Mytilus edulis: one gene and its partner. The protein of the gene in region 1 interacts with the protein of each later gene in a biochemical or structural test. Links are inferred from orthologs where the notes say so. Each region holds a gene or a part of one and is shown in the gene's direction. Other genes may lie near its edges. The genes, in order: flap endonuclease 1-like and checkpoint protein HUS1-like.

Region 1 (11,604 bases):
GTACATGACTCCACTCCTGGCTTATTCATACTTCTACTTGCACAGTTCAAAACAGTTCTTCACATGGAATTAATCACAGTTTCAAGATTATTGTCAATTGAATAATGATGATAACTAGGTTATTTGAAGTAGCGAAGCTCTTCTTTGATGTAGTCTATAACAATAACCTCTAGATACACATTCAATATTAGAGATGTTGGATTCGTCTAGGAATTCAAAGGATGAACAGTCAATAATAACTTTGAGTTGTAAGTCTTCTGATGATAATATTTCATTATACACTTCCATATCAACACAGTCATATAACTTTACTAGTATAATATTTAGGAAATGTTCCTGTATGTCTCTCAATTTTTCACAATATAGAAGGAAATGTTTAATGTCCTCACTTCCTTTGCCACATAATTTACATGCTGAATTAGTTCCACCAGATCTGTCGAACTTAGCTCTGTCATGCTGTAAGGTATAAGTTCCACACATGATTTTTGCTTTTATGCTGGCCATAGTTGAAGTAAACGGCTCTGTTCCACAGCTATCCCAGACATTGTGGGTTTTTCCTTGAGTGATATTATTGACATTTAAAAACTTTAGAGATGACTTTGATTTTACAGCAGATTTTAGAAGATCAATCCAATACGAAGAGATAGATTTTCTTACAATATTTTTCCACTCGATTTTCCCCGGAGGCACATTAATAAGATCATGTGGTGATGGTAAGCCATACTGTTCTGTTAAGTCAATAATTTTGACAAACCAACTATTTGAATCCCTTGGCATTACAGCCAGTTGTCTTATAGCAACATCACGCTCGACAGAACCATGGTTTCTGATGATATTTCCGAAAAAATTCAGCATACGCTTATGCAATTCAGCCTCAACTGGAATTTGACCGAGAAGTAAGTAGACAGCACTAGTGGAAGTGCGCTCTGGCAAATGCTGGATCTGCTTTAAAAGCTTGGTGTAATATACGGAGAGTAATTTCATATCGGAGACAGAAAGTATTATGGAGTCTAATCCATACAAAAGTCTGGGTAGCACATAAATTTTCACCAGGTGCATAGAGACTTTAGGGTTAAGTCCATTCAAACCATGGAGCCCAGCTCCCATGAGGGCATACACTGTTTTCCTAGCTGTCTGAATTCTATTAGGTACACAATCTTTCACACCATATTTAGAATTGACATCATGATCTATACCAAGATGAGTCGCTTTAACAGAATTTTGAAGAGGTTGACCATTCAGTGTAAATAAATGTTCAGTTTTACTTCCATATTGTAGAGTACATGACTTCTGGCTACTAATTATGTAGCGATGTTTATTTATATAATCAGACAAGACATTTAACATTGTTTGCATCTCATACGGGTTGTTGGAAATCAGAGTAACATCGTCGGCAACAGTGGGTATTCCACAGTAAATAGAACCCAAGTGAGCACCAAGACCATTCATTTCAAATGGTTTCAGTAGTGTGTTTATGAAAACCTTATAGGCAGTGGGGGACCAAACTCCACCCTGGCGAACACCCTGGAATTCGTGAACTGGTTTTGATTTGATACTTTGCCACATTACAGAGGACTCCAAGTTCTTATACCACTCATTGAATAGTAACCAATTGTCACCGGTCATTCCACCTTTATACATCTCTCTCATTAGCCCAGAGTGCCACACAATATCAAAAGCTTTTTGAGCATCACTAAACGTTATAATTAATTGTTTTTTTAATTTTTTTTTAACACAAAATTGACTATTGACTAATCTATTGTTCATTGGCACTTTGACTGCAAATACCCCAAGAAATCGATTCCAAATGAGATTACTATAACGCAATACATAAAGATATATATGCCTTGTTAATCGAAGATGAACACTATGACAAACTAATCAATGCCAGCTATCGCTTCCTATATATATTTGACTAAGGCAGCAACCATTTGATTTTCTAGGGGGGGGGGGGGGCTATGGTTTTTTTTGGAAAAAAAAGTTTGTTTCCTGCTTTTGGAGAAAATAATAAATTTGTTTTTGACCCTGAGAAATATTTTTTTTGTTTCACCCTCAGCTGCCACTATATGTAATCATGTAATGTCCAGGAAAAAAATCCATATCCCCCCCCCCCCGAAAATCAAATGGTTGCTGCCTAAATCCATTGGATGTTGGGTGTGTAATGATTAATATTTTAGTCTTAAACATATTGTGTTTTATTAGTTTTTATTGACATTGAACTAGCGTTCAGTAACTGCGACACCAAGTACACTCATATAATGTTCAAGTTCAAGCTATAACAGTTTAATCTGTATATTGTAAATATCAAAGTAAAGCATTACATATGTCTTCATTTAAATGCCATAATTTTGAACTCATGCATTTTCATATATTTGTTTAGTATTGTTTAGTATACAATCTGTCGATACCTGTATCTTGGCATTGCACAAGGTCATGTTTTTCTATGACTGTTTGTGATGTCTTTACACTGAATCCATTGGATGTTGGATGTGTGCGGATTGAAAATTATGTCTTAGATGCATGCTTTTTTTATTAGTTGTTAGTGGCTTTGAACTAGCTGTCCGATAACTGCGAGTACTCTCAGATCTGTTCCTAGTGTCTTTTGTTGGTGGGATGTACAAGTACCCGGCCACGTCCACTGTATTTTTGTCCATCTGATGAGTTAAGCCTTTTTCAACTAATTTTATAGTTCGTTCTTATGTTGTACTGTTATACCACTGTCCCAAGTTAGGGGGAGTTTTCGGATCCCGCTAACATGTTTAACCCCGCCACATTATATTACCTACGCTGTATTTGGCAAAACGTTTAGGAATTTTGGTCATGCTCTTCAACTTCGTACTTTATTTGACATTTTGAACTTTTTGGGATTCGAGCGTCACTGATGAGTCTCTTGTAGACGAAACGCGCGTATGGCGTATATTCTAAATACAGTCCTGGTATCTATGATGATATACATGTATATGTATATATGTGCCTGTCCCAAGTCAGGAGCCTGTAATTCAGTGGTTGTCGAATTGTTTTACATTGTCATTTCGGAGCTTTTTATGAGGTGACTATGCGGTATTGGCTTGATGATATAAGTGTTTAACGACATTGACTGGTTTTTCAGCCCTCGCACGGTCGGTAATGTCTTTGTTCATTGTTAAAGGCCGTACGGTGACCTATAGTAGTTAATTTCTGTGTCATTTTGATCTCTTGTGGACAGTTGTCTCATTGGCAAACGAGAAAACTAACGGCCTTATATATATATATGTTTTGGTAGTTTGCAAGTTACATGTATATGCTATTTGCTTAAAGTTAATTTTTGGTGCTGCTTTTTATTATTTATTGCATGCTGCATGCCTTATTTTATTTGTTATTGCATATGTTTTTATATTCGGTGAAAAACTCATTAGAGCTTATGTTTGTATTGTTTGTCAATATGCCGAATCCAAATAAAGTTTTACTTACTTACTTACTTACTTATGTACAAAAAATGAACGAAAAACAAATATGTAACACATAAACAAACGACAACCACTGAATTACAGGCTCTTGACTTGGAACAGGCACATACATAAATAATATGGCGGGGTTAAACATGTTAGCGGGATCCGAACCCTCCCCCTAACCTGGGACAGTGGTATAACAGTACAACATAAGAACGAACTATAAAAATCAGTTGAAAAAGGCTTAACTCATCAGATGGACAAAAATACAAGTGGACGTGGCCGGGTACTTATACATCCAGACACAAAAAGACACAATGTACAGATCTGAGAGTACTCGCAGTTATCGGACAGCTAGTTCAAAGCCACTAACAACTAATAAAAAAATCATGCATCTTCTTTTTTATATCTAAGACTAAGCTATCAATCCGTACACATCCAACATCCAATGGATTTAGTGTAAAGACGTCATAAACAGCTAGAGAAAAACATGACCTTGTGCAATGTCAAGTTACAGGTATTGACAGATTGCAGATTCTTGAATATGAATATGTATATGTATATAAAAGAGGGACGAAAGATACCAAAGGGACAGTCAAACTCATAAATCTAAAACAAACTGACAACGCCATGGCTAAAAATAAAAAAGACAAACAGAAAAACAATAGTACACACGACACAACATAGAAAACTAAAGAATAAACAACACGAACCCCACCAAAAACTAGGGGTAACATACTAGTAATATTTAGTTAGCTTTTAATTTTCTGATAACAAAATCAATATTTATACCAATAAAAACAATATTCAATGATCTTATTACAGTGTTGAATAGGTAACCTTTTAGAATAAGTTTATTTAAAGGAGCGACAAGTTTACATGGATCATTTCTAAATTTCCGGGCACGGTTAACAACACTGATTTCCGTAAAAATGAGGATGTGCAAACTTCAAAACCAAATCTTTATATTTATGGAAAAATTTAGTAAAGGTTTTAAGTAATTTATGGTAACGATATCCCGGGTTTAATAATTTACCAGTAATACATAGATTGCGTTCGTTAATATAAAAAACGTCACAATATAAATGGGCATAGCGAACGAGCTGTGAAATATAAACACCGTAAGATGGTGTCAAAGGAACATCACATCTTAGAATGGAAAATTAACAATAGATTTTTCTTGTCGTAAATTTTAGTGTGGAGTTTCCCGTTTAAAACCGAAATATCTAAATCCAGCAAAGGACAGATATTACCGTATACATTTAATTTATTCAAAGTAAGTTCCTTGGGGTAAATTTCAGCTGTATATTGAGAACATTCTTGATTATTAACTCTTTTAGATAAACAGCTGCTGTTTTATGGAATAGTTTACCTGATGATTTTAGAGAATTGCTTATTTTAGCCAATTTAAATATGTTTTAAAGGGTCCTACTAAAAAAGCGCCCGGGAGCGCCCGAGTAAAGACAAAGCGCCCGGGGAAAAGAAAAAAGCGCCCGGGGAAAATATATAGATTTTTTATTGGTATGAGACAACTTTGTGCCGATGAAATAAGTAATGCACATTGTTCTTTTTTTAAATTTTTGACAAGTATTTTGCAAATTCAAATAATAGACATTTGAAATAAAACAATTTTAACAATACTATAATTTTTTATGAATACTATTTCGAAAGACAGGTAATAATGGATCATTGTATGCTAAAAATTTATAAAATGTTAGACATCAAAATACATGTTTTGCAAAAACGATATCAAAATGAAAAATGCAAAAACACAGATAAATATTGTAAAAGTGCAACAACACTTTAGATGTAGCATCGTAGGTATCCCCTTTTATATTAAGGACAAAACAAGCAATGATTATTTTTTTATTCAGGAAAACATTTTTTATTATAAAATATTATTATTTTATTCTCCCGGGCGCTTTTTTTCTTTCCCGGACGCTTTTTCTTTTCCCGGGCGCTTCCGGGCGCTTTTTAGTAGGAAGTCATGGAATGGAAATGGCTGTAATTGCACAGTTTGTGCAGATTTTTATTTAATATATGATGCTAAAATTATTTACCATTTAGACATGTTAGATCGGCATACCCTATTTGGGGATATTGTATGCTGCCGTTTATTTTACCAGCATTTAATGATGCCTAGTTTACACTTATATGCTTTTAGCTTTAATACCTAGCTTTTTATGCTTATATTCTGCTTATTATTAATATACATGTTTTTAGTGCTTCATTTTGTGCTGTCACGGTAATTTATTGCCTGTGTGTGTTGTATTGATATAAATGTCTTGTATGTCGGTTAAAATATAAAAAAAGAAGAGACTGTATGTTGCAAATGAGCTCATAAGAGCTCATTAGAGCTTATGTTGTCTCTGCTTGTATACTTTGCCGACTCTAAATAAAGCTTATTTATTATTAATTATTTATGCAGAACGTTGTGTTGTTATATTTTGATAAACTTTTTGTTGGTCAACAGATATACTGTACAAATTTCCAGCAATATCATTTTAGCCAAAAAATCGAATATATTTCTTCATTCAAAATTGTTTTATTTTTATCAAATAATTATACTGCATTCCCATGTTGAATATAAAAGAATCAGACAACAAGTTTTAACATTGGTTTTTATTCGTAAATATTTAGAAAGAACTGGTTCCCGTAAATCATTGTTTTTGTTTATTTGGCGGGAAAGCTGCTAACTCATCACTTATTTTTAATCATGGGAATTTTAGGATTGACAAAATTGCTTGGTGATCATGCTCCTGGCTGTATGAAAGAACAAGAGATAAAGAATTATTTTGGTGCGATTCATTTAAAAAAAGTATTAACTATTTGTTGACCAGAGACCAGTGTTGTTGAGCTAGATTTAATTGCCCCCTCCCCTTAAATCTATTTATTTTCAATCTGCCATATACCTTATCGCTTTTTATTCCAATCCAGGTAAGATCTCAAATTATACAACATTTTCATATAGGTGGAACTATCTGGAGCCATGTTTAAGCAATATGTAAAGCATCTACATCTACATTTACATTGTTAATATGCAAGGCAGTGTCTCTGCTTACTTGAGAGGGGTACGAATAGTCAAATTGCCATTTGTAAGCTTCGCGTTCCTACATCCGGTTTTATAATAGAATGCCATCAAAATGGGAATGAAACGTGAAATATAAATGGAAATCCCCATACTATCGATAGTTTCCGTATATATTTCATGTTTCATTCCCAATCCAATGCCATTTTATTATAAAACCAGATTCGGGTAATCGTAGCCTATATACGGCAATTTGACTATTTGTGGGTATGCGCAGACTGCAAAAAGACTAAGGGTCTAAGACCCACCACCCAAGTACTAATTAATTCATTCAATATGGTGCTCATTAAAAACATGCAGGTCTGTTCACAATACGTTTTATCCGTTATACATCCAGTAGAAGTCAGATGGGGAATGAGTGCACCAGACCTTTAACGGATGAATAATGGACAGGTGAGGGATTCAAAACTGGCACAGAACGGACGAGTACCGTGTAAAACGGACACCTGCAGGATGTACATCGGACACTGCATCAGTTGAACATTCTCAAAATTTTCCAAAAAAGAGGATGGACATCAATGGATAAAATGGACCTTGAACAGACATGGAACGGAAATGAACAATAATGAACAGACATCGTAACAGATAAAAAACGGATGTCTAATTGATATGAACGGTTTGAAAGAACGTTATTGGTTCGGCGACTGTTCACGCTCTCCGTTAAGGTGTGACCTGGACTTAATGCAAATACTTTTCAAATAGGCAGTCACAATAAATTATAAACACTTCAAGCAAATAAAATTTAGAATGGAAATGGAGATTTAACAAAGACTTTGAATGATTTTAAGAAGACTTTGAATGGCGAGAATTGGAACCCGTATAAATTTATATGTTTATGTTAATTGTTGAGCTGTGCACACCTGAATAAGTTCTATTTTTATAAATATAAGATATATTAATATATTATAATGTGATCATTTTCGATGAGAAATTGCATTGCTACATTCCAAGATCAGGGGTCAGTAGAAGCCATTGGCTTATTTTAAGGACCCGAAGATATAGGTATAAAGGTATAAAGCAGTCTGGCTTTAGCTGGCGTCTTTTTATATGCTCATTAAGGGGACATTATGGTATACCATTGTCCGTCAGTCCCTCCGTCGCCAACATGTCAAACATTAACTCCAAAACGCTCTAACCAATTTTGACAGTTCTTTAAATGTGCAATAATTTTTGTAATGCCTTTAAGATCAAGTTAATTTGGAATAAACAGAATGGCTTTATATTGCTATCAGCTCTTTGTTTATCAAAACATGGAATTTTTGTCACGTCTCTTCACTTGTAGATGTTAACACAGTACATGTTTTTGTTTTATTTTAAAATATACTTCATGTTTTTACCTGCAATAGCTCTTTGGAAAGTTATTTCATCTAACTCTGAACACCTGTTTGTTTTGTAGGAAGAAAAGTTGCTATTGATGCCTCCATGTGTATCTACCAGTTTCTTATAGCTGTCCGACAAGATGGCAGCCAGTTGATGAATGAAGATGGTGAAACAACAAGGTTAGTTTCTATAGATGGAAATAAATTTTAAATATTATTCCTTAATAAGGGTATTCATGCCTACGGAATTGAATCAAAACTTAAATTGGACTCCGGGTGCTGGAGTTTCTTGCTGCATCATGTGCATTGAAGACCCATTTGTGGCCTTCTGCAGTTTTCTGCTCTATGGTTGGGTTGTTGTCTGAGACTCTCTTTGACACATTCCCCATTTCCATTCTCAATTTTATTCTATACTACTAAAGGAAGTGACCGATTTACTGGAGCTGCTACTCCATCAAAACCATACAAAATCGGAAATATTTGTAGGCATGATATGTAGTGTTTTGTACTTTCTAAATTTGTCATTGAAACAATACTTTTTTCCACAGAAAATGACAACTCTTGAGAAATATTAAAAAATCGGAGACTGTTATCCATCTGTGTCTTATAAGCTTTTGCGCATGACAGTTGACATACACCCAGGGAAATTTAAATCTCTTTGTTTCAACACTTGCCAAATTGTACCACGATTTTGCGGACATCTTCTAGTAGTAGTGTGTGTTTTATCACATGAGTTGTGAATCTCCTTACAAAAGCTGTCATATTTACAATTGTGAACATTAGGATGTACATGTGTATCAGGCAATCAATTTCTTTGTTTTTGATACAAGTTCAATTGATTTTTCTCATTATGAATTAAAAACATACACTACAGCTCAGGTGGAGTTTGCTTTGTCCATCCGTCCACAGTGGACATCAGATAAGCATTTGTTATCAATATTTTTACAAAAACAGTGATTATAGCTGGAGTGGGCACGGGTGGGCTTCCCATTGTGGGCAGGTGGAAAAAACAAAATCCACACTGGTTGTTGTGTAGATGAAACAATTTATTAGTTGTTTTCAGGATGATAAATATTTGTGAGTAAATTTCAAAATTTGCCTTAATCATTGTTAATTTAAAAAAAGAATGAAAATTCAGGCTACAATTTCTCAGATTTTATATAAAAAATATTAGAATATGTTTTTTTTCAATTACAGTCATCTGATGGGTATGTTCTACAGGTCAATCAGAATGTTAGAACATGGCATAAAACCTGTCTATGTATTTGATGGCAAACCTCCAGACATGAAGTCAGGGGAGGTTAGTCAGTATAATATTTATATATTTGATATTGTTTATTTATAAGTTATGACATTTAAATTAAGAGAGAATTCATTGTTTACGAAATAAAATTTTGCAAAAATATGCATTGGATAGATACCAAGTTTTACAATTATTTATAATAAGAATTGTTTGGTATGATTGCCAATGAAACAACTCTCCACAATTTACCAAATGTCGAAATGACATAGAAATGAAGAAATATGGGTCACTGTATCACCTTCAACAATGAGCATATCTCATTCTTAATTCTTTTGATATATATGGAAGTAGAAATTACAAGAGGCCAGGGTACGCCCATGCTTAAAGGAAAACACTATTTTTTTATGTGAATTGTAAAAAGTAAAGTAAATTATATTTAAGAATTCAAAAATCAAAAACACAATTTGCTTTGCAAACTGTTAAAAACCGCATGATGAGCTGTTGTTTTCCTTGGTCTTTGGTGTATAGTTGTCTCATTAACATTACTTTATATATACATAGTTCTGTGTAAAGTACTAATCTTAAATTATACTACTGAAGCTTATACCTTGTTAAAATGTATATGCATGTTGCTTTACAGTTAGAAAAGAGGAAAGAAAGAAGAGAGGAAGCACAGAAAGCATTAGAGAAAGCAGAGGAAGCAGGTAATACTAGTTAAATCTAAGTAATATAATCACAAAAAGTTTCATAGAATGTAAAAACTTAGAGAAAAATATTATAAGTATCATTAATGTAGCAAACCAGTTTTTCTTTTAAGATCATTGTTGTATTCCTTCATTAATACACACCAATCTAACATTGTTTTTAGTTTGTACTAGTTACAATAAGTCCTTTGCTTTGAGATATATTTTTAATAATTGTCATTTTATAGTTGTTGAAAATTGTGAAAGAATAATATTTTTCTTTCATCAGTTCTATTTGACTACATTTGTTATTTTTGTATATATATATGCATGATGTAAACATTATGTTGAGGGTCCAGCTGAACCTCACCTCCAGGTGCAGGATTTTTGCTGTGTTAAAGACCCATGGTTGGCCTTGGGCTGTTTTCTGACGTTTGGTTGAGTTGTTGTCTCTGTGACACATTCCTAATTTCCATTCTCAATTTCTTTAACTTTATAATTATATTTGTTTAAAAAAAAGACTTCTTTATATGTAAATCAATTATTCATTTAACAAAGGTTAATACAATTTACAGGAGATGAAGAAAACATAGAAAAATTCAATCGTCGTCTGGTGAAAGTTTCAAAGCAGCATAATGAAGAATGTAAAGAACTGTTGAAGTTGATGGGAGTCCCATTTATAGAGGTAGAGTTAATATAAGATCAATGTAAATACTATATAGAGAGATAAGTCCTGCATTATTTGCATATAAGTTATAAAAGTGTTTATAATTGACAGCTCTAAAGTACTTTGTGATCAGATTATTCGAATTAATCAATTGGAACTTTCCAGCAGATACCCAACACTATTTTAAAGAATAATTTGGTAATCATCAGAAACTTTAAAATAAATATCTGTATCTTATTTTTCAACCTTTATTTACAACTTCCATCTCACATAGTATTTGTTTGTCATTGAAGATCCCCCAAAAAGGTTATATAATCATTAGAAAAGACCGGAGCAAACTCAGAATGTATATGATCTAACAAATAGGGAGAAACTAAAAAATTACAGCTTGATTTATTATAGAAGTTTGTTTATACTGACAGTATATACTTAGATCATATATTTGAAGAGATCAGCTTAGATTCCAATATACCCGGTATATGGGTTGTTTTCTAAACCCTATTCCCTGACTAGATGGAAAACCAACAAATCCCCATGACCTAAAACAAAGAAATAAAATATGAGCATAGTTTGTCTATGATAGTAATTGTTCTGATGTGACTTTCAATGTTATTTATGACAATCTTATGAAGTATTGTCTAAGATAATAATTGTATTGTAGGCTCCTGGTGAAGCTGAAGCCCAGTGTGCTGTGTTAGTTAAAGCTGGTAAAGTATACGCTACTGGTACTGAAGATATGGATGCTCTTACGTTTGGAACCAGTGTACAGCTGAGAAATCTAACAGTTGCTGAAGCAAGGTACTCTTCATAAATTGTTTTTGTCATACATATCCGTCCTTTTAGGGCAAATATTAAGTCAATCTTGACAATAACATTATAATAACATAAAAAAAATGTGCTCAAAGATAGTTGGGTTTAACAATTATCTACATTGATCAGACATGACACCATTAATTATATTTTATTTTATTTACCATTAATAACACTGATTTGTTTTGTGTTGTATAATAAAGAGACAAACATGGAGAATGGAAATAGAGTTGACCTTGTAAAAGTGTATGAGCACCAGGCATCAAATGACATGCCCACAATACATGATAAACTTTAATTATTTTAAATGACTTATATAAATTTGAATTTTATATTTTTAGCCAGGGTAACGGATATTTAGTGGTT
Region 2 (12,174 bases), on another chromosome or scaffold:
TTTACCAATAAAAATTACTGACGAGTGGTTACAAAGTGATGCACACTAAAATTTGTCATTTAACATGTTGTCTGTAGTATGTATTCCATTCATTAATTGTTCAGATGTTCTCGACTCAAACATTTTTGTTTTGTCAAGGAGAAGTAGAGAAAGGGGGAAAGCTACTTAATAAAATGTTTGCCTCTTCGGAAGTCAGTTAGTTACCCAACAATAGGTTGATAACTCCCGAGAAACCGGAAGCATTACATTGGCGTTTCCTAAATACTGGACCAGGACGGAAAAGTAATGATAAAAATCCGCGTTTTACAAAATTGAACGTCGATGATTGGGAATCCGTAACTATTCGACTTTGACCGTAATAGCGTAGTTTTTATCGCAAAATCGGAAAAACTACGGAAAAATCGTAATGGTTGGCATCTATGCCATAGCATCAATTGTCAATTGTCAATTGATGCCATGTAAAAAAGTGACGTTATCCAATCAAAATGAACGTTACAAACGTTGTTGCATTAGAATGGTTACTTACGCTCCAACACTAACTTCATTACTAACAGACAGTTTATAAATTAATTCATCCATTATACTGAGAATTAACTTCTGGTTCAAGCTTCTTAGAACAATTCTGAAAAATACAAACATTTACAAATTGATTTGGCATAATTAATATTTGAAATTATATTAAAAAATGAAAAAAATAACAAAGAAACAATAAAAATAATTTGTATTGTTTCTTTGTTATTTTTTTCATTTTTTAATAAGTTATAGTGAGTTATTTACAAAGGCTTTGATTAAATGGTACCGGTAATTTAAATGTCAGTGCCTTTTAACTGAACTTCCTTCAGTAAGGGATTTGTGAGGTTTTCTACACCTTATCAAACATTTTTTGCTATCATTATATCACTTTCTTGCCTTTTACAATGGTTAATATTATACCAGAAACAGATACAAGATGATAGCTAGAAAAAAATATCACTTAAAGGTCATAAGATTTACAAGCATTAAGAGTGGATGAATAAACAATCTTTTTTTTTTCAAATTTGTTTTCACAGAGTTTTAATCTATTCTACAGTTTTGTAAAATTTCAAGCAAAATTTATTTGAATAGGCCAGATGTTTACTCAGGTGTTAGTTGAGTTTGCTCTAAAATGCTTTACTTTCCTTATTATGGAAGTGCTACTGGTTTGATTGACATCTAAATTTATCATGATAATTATTGTCACATAAACTGCTGAGAATAGCCTACATAAAAAACTCTGAGCATCCTCCGAGCATGCTAGGAGCTTCCTCTCAAGAATAAGTCTACGATCCCTTAGATCATTAGTTACAGTTACCTGTTAACCCTGAGTATTTTTGGAATGAGATCCATTATAGCTACAACTGTGTCGGTGTCATCTGTGATCAGTAATTGTAATAACCATGGACATTCCAATACTGCAATATAGAAACAGTTAAAATAAATATTATTCTTCAATGATAACAGCACACATAAATAAATATATAATTATTAAATGATAAAACAGTAATAGTACATGTAAATCTAAATAAGGTTTACTGTGGATTAATTTATTTTCATGGGTTACATATACCAATTTTTGTGGATTAAGGAAAACTTACATATTGGTGAATATTTAATTTCATGAAAATATAAATAACAAAAAACTTCATGAGTGCCTTTGGTACATTCTAATCATTTTCTGTGCTTTATTTTGTAATTCATTTGATTGTATGGCTCAAATTTTGGGCACCATGATTGGTTAATAAAATTATCTATCTATCTACTATTATGTCATTCAAATGAAAACTTTCAAACCCTTAACTTGTATGACTAAGATTTGGATACAATGTATGTCTCATGAAAATTGTGTTTTTAAGGTACTAAGGTGTTGTAATATGTTCTATTACATTGTATTAATTAAACATTTGTGGATTCCAGCAATTCATTACGGTGAACCAGACATGTCAACAGGTCTCATCACGGCTAGTTCGGCAGCCGGCCATATTGGATAAGGGGCAGATTTTCCTAATGAAAGTAAAAATGGTGTGAAAAATACGGGGAAAATCGTATAAACAGAGCATTTGCTTGGAAACTTGCATAAGATTTCCCATATACTTTCATACTGTAACCCCTCTTTCAAAAAAATCTGCCCCCTATCCAATATAGCTGAACTTACCGTAAAGAGGCCCATTGTGAATTTGACAGTAAAGTTCAGCCAATGAAAAAACTGTTACATAAGGATTGCATTAGAAAAAAAATGTCCATTAAAGTCTAATTGAACAGAAAACGTTCGATCTTACTGCATTCAAATTCAATATTGTTTAATATGACTATACACTCAATCTTATTTCCTTAAGTTCTTAGATTTACCTTTTTTTGGCACACTCGTGTGACCTGAGGCTAAATATACAATAGATTCCAATACACCTCTGTAACATGCAAGTAATTTATTTCTTTCCTTCATGTGACCCTACAAATATAAAAAAAGGAGTCTTAAGATTCCACTTCAAGAACAGCAAATCTCTACCATTTATCATAATCATACATTTGTAACTATTAAAAAAAAGTACAGTCTGCTCACCAAGTATTATATGTCTTGTATTCCAAATTAAATATAAGTTGCCATGAAAAATATCTATCGAACCAGTATGCAACTATAGCTAGTAACCATGACGTTTAATTTATCAGATCTACCATTTATCTGGGGTCACTTAGGATATACTCACAGCTCTGTCTGGAATCTTGACATATCTTACTTGTATATGATTGGTCACTAAGAACAAATAATTCATTTGGTTTACATATGACAGGGTTCTCACTAAGATTTTTTTAAGGCAATTCAAGGGACTTGTCAATTTTCCCTTGAAAAGTCCAACAGTAACATGAGGATATTGCTATATGACCTGATAGAGCAATTCAATGACATTCATTTCAGATTACTTTTAAACTTTTGCTATATAATGATGATATACATGTATGTGTACAGTTTAAACAAAATATTTCATTCTTGATGCATTTTTGGACTCACCAGTTTTGAAAATGGTGAGTCCAGACAGATTTTCATGAGTCGAGGACTCATGAACTTGCCTTAGTGAGAACCCTGAATTATGATTGTTCAATAAGAATATGTTACTGAAAATTCAGAAATTATTGAGGGGTTTGTATTATTGCAAAAAATGTGACATAGTTGTAAACGCAATAATTAAAACTTGCATTTTGAAATATTTTATATGAATTAAACAGGATTTTTCTCAATATCTTAAAAATTAAAATTGCATTTACCGGTAAGTATAAAATAATAAAATCACAATAATAAATGCACACAATAATTTCAGAATTTATAATACTTACATCTTCGCTAGCCAAGGGTTACGATCCACTCCCTTTCTCTTCACCCTTGGCGGATTGAGATAAAATTTCAGAGACACAAGGTAAGGATTTTTATTGGTTGCAGTGGAAAAAGCGCCTATAACATGATCACGTGTAAATGTAGATAGTGTTTGTAAACAATTGCCACGTGTTTATTGTGCAACAAGTCTTTACATTCTATAAACATACGACTATATTTAGTGACAACTTGAATGTTTTTAATCAATTTGTAGATTAAGTTCATGTGTATGTTTCATGCACAAATGAATGAATGTTGACGTATATTATTGTTTCTGGCTTTATCAAGTGAGTAGAATCTACACGCTACCGTGTTTTTACCTCCAAATTGAAGAGTTCAAGTGCTACCATTGGTCAAGAATAATGTATTCGGAATGGGAATGACTTTAATCATCCGATAGATGGCACAACATTGTTTTCACAAATGTTGGCTCAATCCGCCAAGGGTGAAGAGAAAGGGAGTGGATCGTAACCCTTGGCTAGCGTAGATGCAATACTTACAGCTCTGTCTGGAATCTTGGCATATCTTGCTTGTATACGCCTGGTCACTAAGAACATATTGCTGACAGCTTCAAGTAGCACCTCATCCTCAAACTTCTTTACTTCTGCACTAGGAAGATCTAGGCCTGCACACACTTGACTAAAAATGGTTAATTATGAAAAAGTGAATTATAAATTAAATTTAGAAAATTGCTTAAACATTATCTATTCCTTGATAAAAGTAAACTTCAGAACAGTAAATCTGACACCAATATTAGTACATATAACTACACTGAACAGCTAGCTCAATATGTGACAAGGGTAAATGTTGTTTTTTGTTTATATTTATTTATCATATATGTAATGAAATAAGCCTTAGTTACTATAAACTAAAGCATAATTTGTACGCATGTGACTCATATAAAAATAAGAAGATATGGTATGATTGCAAATGATAAAACACTCTACCCGAGACCAAATGACATATATATTTGATTAACAACTCTGGGACCAGATGATAGATTTTCCTGCTGCACTGAAGACTCATTGGTGGCCTTGGGCTGTTTTCTGCTCTTAGGTCAGGTTTTTACCTCTTCAACACTTTCCAAATTTCCATTTTCAATTTTATCAGAAAACAGTTGATGGAATTCATTACATAAAGTTAACAATGATTAATACCTGAGTATAGCAGCCAGTGAAGCGGCAATTTGCCATTCTCCATCCACAATGGAAAAGTCTTGTTTCAAAACTAAAACCAGGGCTTGCAACAGATTGTATTCCCATATTTCTTTCCTAATTCTCATACCATCTTTGCTTCCAGCTACAGCTGTGCTGAGGATTTCTAATAAAATAAAATTTGAAATATACACATATACATGATAAAATGTTAATTTTTAGCTAATTTTGTGTTCTACACTTTTGAGATGTTTGGCCACCTTTTAGGGGGAAAAACATATTTGTATGATGGACCAAAATGACAAGGCCAAAAGGACTTATTGCCAAAAAGGGGCCAAACGTTTCCAATGTGTAGAACACAAATTGTTCTATTTACATGTACATGTATACAATGATTGTTTATGGTGTAAGACAGTGTATAAGTATAAAATGAAATCATGGCTGAAACTACTTTTTTTATACTAGTCCGAGATTACTCTGACGTCCAACGGCTGTTTTGCCAGACAAGCTGGGGCCGTGGGACGTCAGAGCTCGTCCCATATCAAAAAGTGGATATTTGCCCACCAAAAATAGATGCGCTGCTTCGTCGCTTCTGATGCCGACTGACGGCCTTGGAATTATATAAATCGGACATCAATCTGTTCATTTTTCATTTATCTCTTCATTTATGTAAGTTTCACCTACCTGCCAACCTTTATTTTTCCATATTTTAACAGTTTTCACAGTGACCCATCGATTTCGGCATTTTGACTTTCACTTTCAAATGGACGTCAAGTTATGAGAGAGTTCGTGGTCTCGAGACTCAAAATATGCAAATATCGATGTTTAACATTAGTAGCCAACCACGATTTTTCACCTCCTTTACAGGAGATCGGTATGACGCATTTAGTTCCGACCATGTTACAATCGGAAGCTCTCGGATATTTAGATAACTTGCATCGTAATTGAAGAGGTGTTACATTAATTATGGTCATTTGCATAAATCATCACTGTTTTCTCGTGGTCACGTGATTATCTTTGAACATGAGAGGCAAAATGCCGAAATCGATGGGTCACTGTGAAAACTGTTAAAATATGGAAAAATAAAGGTTGGCAGGTAGGTGAAACTTACATAAATGAAGAGATAAATGAAAAATGAACAGATTGATGTCCGATTTATATAATTCCAAGGCCGTCAGTCGGCATCAGAAGCGACGAAGCAGCGCATCTATTTTGAGTGGGCAAATATCCACTTTTTGATATGGGACCAGCTCTGACGTCCCACGGCCCCAGCTTGTCTGGCAAAACAGCCGTTGGACATCAGAGTAATCTCGGACTATTTTTACATATGCCAGAATTGGTACATGGCTGAAACGTTTAAACTGGAATCGACCAATTGTGAACTGGGTCCATGGTGGAAATGTCTTGTTTCCATATACACAAGTACAGATATGGACACTGAGACAGATCATAAGCAGATACATGTAAGTACAAAAAAAAATGAAGTAAGGATAGTCTTTTTATATTCTTATTTCCCAGTCAATAACATTAATATTTATCTTCATTTCGAGGAAGATTATGATAATGATTTTTTTTTTATATCTATATGTAGGTTTAAATCTTTGTGTAATATATTTGAGCATGACTGGTCTTGTTCAAATCAAAATTGAATGACTATAATAACCTTTCAGCCTCAGAAGCAAAATTGGGATACGTCTGTCTCGTGTCTCTGCTACCTCAGATGCTAAATTGATAACACGTTTATCTCTGGTAGGACTCGGCTGTCTTGACATTTTAAAAATATAAGTTGAAACTTGCCACACAAAATTTTGTTTACATGGTCATTTTGGCGCTTGCGACTGAATCAGCATTACGTTTAAAATCTAGCTGTCTAAAATAAAAACAAACTCGGTAAGCATCAAAACGAAAGTAAGAATGGCGGGAAATATGTCACAGTTCTAGTTAAACATAGCAAAATGAAGTTTAGAGGGAAAATCGTTGATATAGGATGTATTCACCATTTCACGAGCAAGTCCATTTGCATATTTTTTTATTCAATCAAGATTTAAATAACATATCCTATATATGGCACCAAATGTGCAGCTGAATCACAGGCACTTGTTTCTATCAATGGGAAGACAACTCGTAAATAAATAGTGGGTCTTCCCTAGTCTTAAAATCTTGAAAGGCTATTATAATTTTTTCTTTGACGCCTTACTCAAGACGTCATAATTATTTGGACTAGGTCTTCCCATGGATAGAAACTAGTGCCTGTGAGCTGAATATAGGTATATTGTTTTGTTATCATCGTGTCATATGTATAAGTACATCATATGTTTTTATGCGTCATATATGGTTTGGTATTATTCATATTTCATCAGTTTCAATTTCACAGGATTGATTACTACTAATACCATTGAATACCAAAAAGCATTAATTTCCCTGGGACTCTTAACAATCACCTCTGTAACTGTTTATTCCTCGCCTAATATGAGGCAGGCATTACCTATATGAAGTCTGTATGAATTATTTTTTTTTTTATTACTTCAAAATCTGTTAAAAAGAAATGGAAATACCGTAACGTTTCCGATTTTGGTTCTGTTGTTAGGGATTTTACTTGTGACGTTATTTAAGTTATGACGTCACGTTTAATGTAAACAACGAAACGTGATCATCAGTTAACGTTTATTCATATCAAAGACATTGGTATTGTGTTCCTTGAGTTCCTATATTTTACTAGACTACTCAAAGTCACATGACAACAAGACTGGAAGAAGGAAGTAGATTTCTGCGTTCTGCGCAAATGGGGGAATTAAAAAAAGTGACAAAAAAAATTAAAGATTTTAAGTTCATGAGTACATTTGTAGTATAGTAAAAATTTCGCGAGATTTTCCCTTTTTTTTCTTTTTTTTTTTTATTGATTATTCTACTGTTATAGGGGACTTCGTCCGATTATAAGTGTAACAAGACCACGCCTATACTGAATGACCTAAAGAAGTACTTCCTGAGCTCAACCACTTACGCTGACTTGAGTTTCAACCTCATTTACCAAGGGAATCAATCCCGTCACAAAAATAATACATTTTGACGTGTTTTCTGTTTCTATATTTGGGACATTAACAACACTACAATATGTACAACTTGACAAATGTCAAACCAGGAACATATATTTTGACGGGACTTGACACTACCGAATGATAGCAAATTTTATTGTCAAGTCATGGTAAATAAATTACACAATATGGAAATGGACATTTGTAAAATACGCAATCACTATTATCTTAATAATTTCTAATAATATCAATAAATGTCATTCAATGATCCATGAGAGAACAACATCTATATAGTGTAAAGAAAAGTTAAGGATACTGCTATTATAAACTTCTTTCTTTCTGTGTTAGAAGTTTCTGTTTGAAGTCAGCATTATATGAACATGATGAATAAAATTACAATTCAGCGTGAAGAGGTGCACAGTTGGTTCCCATGGGACTGCAGGTTGTTTGTTAAAATACACATTGTTTGGAAATTCTATGAAACCTTTTGTGTAAATGCAGTTTATTCACAATTTCTTAGAAGCATACATGTAGATGTGATTATTATTTATTATCATCATGATCATTATTTTAGTATGAAACATTTTAATTTTCAGGAGTAATAGGAACTCTCTCAAAACTAATTAAAAGTTGTGTCTTGAGAATAACCCCTGGTAACTGGTATTTTATACTTGCTGAAAAGTTGGCTAATGGAGGAATCCAGATCTGGTGTGAACTACCTCAGGTAAAATTTCTACCAGTATATTTAGGTGGTGAAAAGCTATTTTTTTCTGAACATTAAATGAAGTGCAATTACAAAATGTATTTTCAAACTATTTCAAAATAAGTTCAGACCAGATTAAACATCATAAAATGTAGTAAAAGCATATTCTATCATAACATTGAGTATTCCATTAAAGGTTTACATACATTGTGCTTCCTTCAAGTAGGTTTTACAGTATAAATGGCAGACACTTCTGTAAACATAATAAAATGGCAAAATTAAACAAAATCTGTACTGTTTTAAACTCTCATGCTATAAAAAAAAAAATGTGGAGCACAACTGTATTTAAAGAGTTATTCCAAGAGAAGAGGTATTGTTGGTTCAGATAATTATGACATTGACACTAAAATTTGAGCTTTTGCTCAATGCTCTTTTATCCAACATATTCCTAACATACATTGACATAAGTCTACATTTTGCTAAAATCTGCAAAAATTGAAAATGATGTAAGTTTTTTTTTTGTCAAGTCCAAGCTCTTTATACATGTCATATTTGCATTTCCGAGACCCTTTTGAGCATGTTAAGTTTAAAAATTATAGTGATATTGATATGAATGCAAACTGTTGTTGGGTAAACATTACATTAATTAGACAGTACAGTGGCTTCATCATTGTATTACAATTCAATTTAGTTTGTTTAAGTTGATACAATATAAGTCAAGTAAAATATCAAGTTTTATATAAGAAGTTAAGCGGATGTGGCATGACTGCTAATGAGACAACCATCAAGTGACCAACTATGGTTCACCTTATTGCCTTCAACAATGAGCAAAGCCAATTCTGAATGGTAATTGTTTTTTTATTGAAACTCTATTTTAAGGGTCGAAATGTACTATGTCTTTTAAAAATGTATTACCTAATATTGTTGCCAGTGTCCTTACAAATAATTACTTATTTATTTATTTATTTCCTCAGGGTCATTTCTTTGATGAATATGCAATGGAAGGAGTTTCTAAGGAGGCTAATGAGATTTACTTAGAGGTTGCTCCAGATAATATTGTTAAAGCTCTAAAAACAGCTAGCAATGCCAAGTGGATCAAGATTAAATTGACAAAAAAACATGTCCCTTGTCTTACTTTTGAAATTGATCAGGTAGGTGGACAAAAGACAAAAAAGTATCAATTATCAACTCAAGAATTTCAAATGACTTGTACAGTATTTTTATGCCCCACCTACGATAGTAGAGGGGCATTATGTTTTCTGGTCTGTGCGTCTGTTCGTTCGTCCGTCTGTCCCACTTCAGGTTAAAGTTTTTGGTCTAGGTAGTTTTTGATGAAGTTGAAGTCCAATCGACTTCAAACTTAGTATACATGTTCCCTATGATATGATCTTTTTAATTTTAATGCCAAATTAGAGGGTTTACCCCAATTTCACAGTCCACTGAACATGGAAAATGATAGTGCGAGTGGGGCATTCGTGTACTGGGGACACATTCTTGTTCACTATAGGTTATTTAGATAAATCAATAAACAGGAATGAAAGGTATAAAACATATTGTTGAAAGACAAAAAAAGGAAGAAAAAAACTATAAGAAAAATATGTGTATTTTAAAAAATAATAAATATTGATAAAGGGTAAATACAATGTTGAAAGACAAAAACAACCACAACAACGAAGTGATAAATACATGTAAAAAAAACAAAAAAAAACTAGTAAAAATATCATACAAACTATTATTGTATTTTTAGCCAACCCTCAGTTCCCACAGCAGAACAGTAGTCCATGATGTTCCAGTTTCTGTTATACCCAGAAGATTATGGGAAGACTATGAAGAACCAGAACTTCCACACTTTGATGTGAGAATTCATTGTTCAGATTTTATTCATGTGTTAAATGCTGAGAACCCGGTGGTGACTACAACCGTTTATATATTATAGACCCACAATCCCAAACAGAGGTTTACATCTGTACTTACATGTTTCGGTCAGTTTCTCTGTTTCTTGAAACATTTGTCACACTTATCTCTGCCCCAATAAATCAAAGCTTTCTTGAAAATCAGTTTCAAACTTCATGTTAGCATTGTATACTGTGTGGGGATGTCTCAAATTTTGTGAGGAAGTACACATCAGGGTAACAGTCATATATTTGCCATTCAAGTCTTATTCTGAAAGATTAACATGGTTAATGGCTAATATGGTATTTTGTATAGGTCATGAAAAACAAAATGGTATAGAAATGAATTCTTTCGTTTCATTTAGATCAGACGTTTGTTTATGCCATGAATTTTAGTTTGAAAAAAAGACTTCCATCTTACAAGTGTTCTCTTTTTCCACAGGTCAGTATAGCTATGCCGCAGATGAAGTTACTGAAGAATATGATAGATAAAATGAAGAATCTAAGTAATCACATGGTAAATATAGGAATATAATTTTTGTTTTCACAATTTTACAACTCATTCAAGCCAATTTCATCTTTAGAACACAACTAGGAACCAATCAGAACAAACTGTTGTAAGTTATTATTTCAAGATAACATGTATATTGACTGAAAATAATAGCTTGGCAAATGAGCAAAGCAAACAGAATAGGGACTATAAACGCAACTTGAATGGTATATTTTTACAAATTGTGACTTGGATGGAGAGTTGTCTCATTGACACTAATACCACATCTTCTTATATCTAATAAACTTTTCTATTCAGCTGAATTATAATGGCCATTGAAGCATAAAGGGATACAAATTTACTGATTAAGTTTAAAAAAAGAAGATGTGGAATGATTGCCAATACGACAACTCTTCACAAGAAATCAAATAACACAGAAATTAACAACTATAGGTCACTGTACAGCCTTCAACAATGAGCAAATCGCAAAACACATAGCTATAAAAGAGGGCTGTTCCATAAAACATACATGGGACCCAGGGAAGGCAGTTTAAAATTTCAACTTTGAAATTGGTCAATGATTGATTATAAATTTGATAAAAATAAGTTAATTTAAATTCAAAAATTATTGTGTGCATTTATTATTGTGATTTTGTCATTTAAGACTGAAATGCATTATTGAAGAAAATGCTGTATCAGTCATTTAAAAAAAAATTAAAATGCAAGCTAAATTTATTGAGATTATAACCCTGTCACATTTTCTGCAATGATTTCTGAATTTACAGTAATAGTTCCAACTACTTATATTGTGGTAATCAGGATTTGACACAGCTGAATTTTACATGCATGATTCATATATATGTCTTTTTAAGGAGGTTTTCAGTCCCATTTTTTCCCCACTGAGATGGTTCTCACTGCCTGTGTTAGGCAGTACCCCTACTGTTATAGAGAAAAATATGTAGTGGGTATCAGGAAGTGCCTTTTATATGCAGGGGCTTGTTTTATGGATGTGCCAGTTAGACCAAGTTTGGCTTATTGTCTTATTGAATCAAGATATTTCACTAATATTACATCTTACATAACTCTCAGGTTATCACAGATGCTATCTCAGTGATTTTTGTTTTGCTGAGTGACCAGTTATATTTCCACTCAGCTTTTCAAATAGCAAGATCCATTTAAGTACCACAATTGACAAATTGTTATGAAGAATGCTCCCTTTGTTTGATATAGTATAGACTGTATCAGATAATTGGAATGGAAAAATGAAATTTGATGTTGAAATGATCCTTTTGTTTGTTTCAGGTTCTATCAGCCAATCAGAATGGAGAGATGAAATTAAGTGTAGAGACTGACATGGCAGCAGTCAGTACACATTTCAGAGACCTGATCAACCCATCTAGTAAGTATGATGTATATTGTGTAAGTTTTGTCTATTAGTATAAAGCACCACTTTCTATAGTCATGATAGTAGTAGAGGGACCTCTGTGACTGAGTGGTCTTATAAGTCAAACTACTCCAATC

What was found.
Region 2: the proteins of flap endonuclease 1-like (region 1) and checkpoint protein HUS1-like form a complex in vitro, tested with the Homo sapiens proteins (2 studies listed by BioGRID). The link is inferred for Mytilus edulis from reciprocal best matches to the Homo sapiens genes FEN1 and HUS1.

Annotation. Positions count from the first base shown.
Region 1 is NC_092348.1:96,437,404-96,449,007, forward strand, and holds the start of flap endonuclease 1-like, read left to right. Parts: upstream 1-6,073; 5' UTR 6,074-6,144; coding exon 6,145-6,226; intron 6,227-7,912; coding exon 7,913-8,015; intron 8,016-9,032; coding exon 9,033-9,135; intron 9,136-9,718; coding exon 9,719-9,782; intron 9,783-10,336; coding exon 10,337-10,446; intron 10,447-11,089; coding exon 11,090-11,226; intron 11,227-11,604. UniProt on the Homo sapiens protein: Structure-specific nuclease with 5'-flap endonuclease and 5'-3' exonuclease activities involved in DNA replication and repair.
Region 2 is NC_092345.1:33,786,402-33,798,575, forward strand, and holds the start of checkpoint protein HUS1-like, read left to right. Parts: upstream 1-6,430; 5' UTR 6,431-6,491; coding exon 6,492-6,543; intron 6,544-8,164; coding exon 8,165-8,292; intron 8,293-9,245; coding exon 9,246-9,422; intron 9,423-10,018; coding exon 10,019-10,126; intron 10,127-10,605; coding exon 10,606-10,680; intron 10,681-11,955; coding exon 11,956-12,052; intron 12,053-12,174. Other genes in the region: IQ calmodulin-binding motif-containing protein 1-like, read right to left, coding at 527-622, 1,331-1,430, 2,365-2,464, 3,883-4,021, 4,540-4,702, 6,200-6,308. UniProt on the Homo sapiens protein: Component of the 9-1-1 cell-cycle checkpoint response complex that plays a major role in DNA repair. The 9-1-1 complex is recruited to DNA lesion upon damage by the RAD17-replication factor C (RFC) clamp loader complex.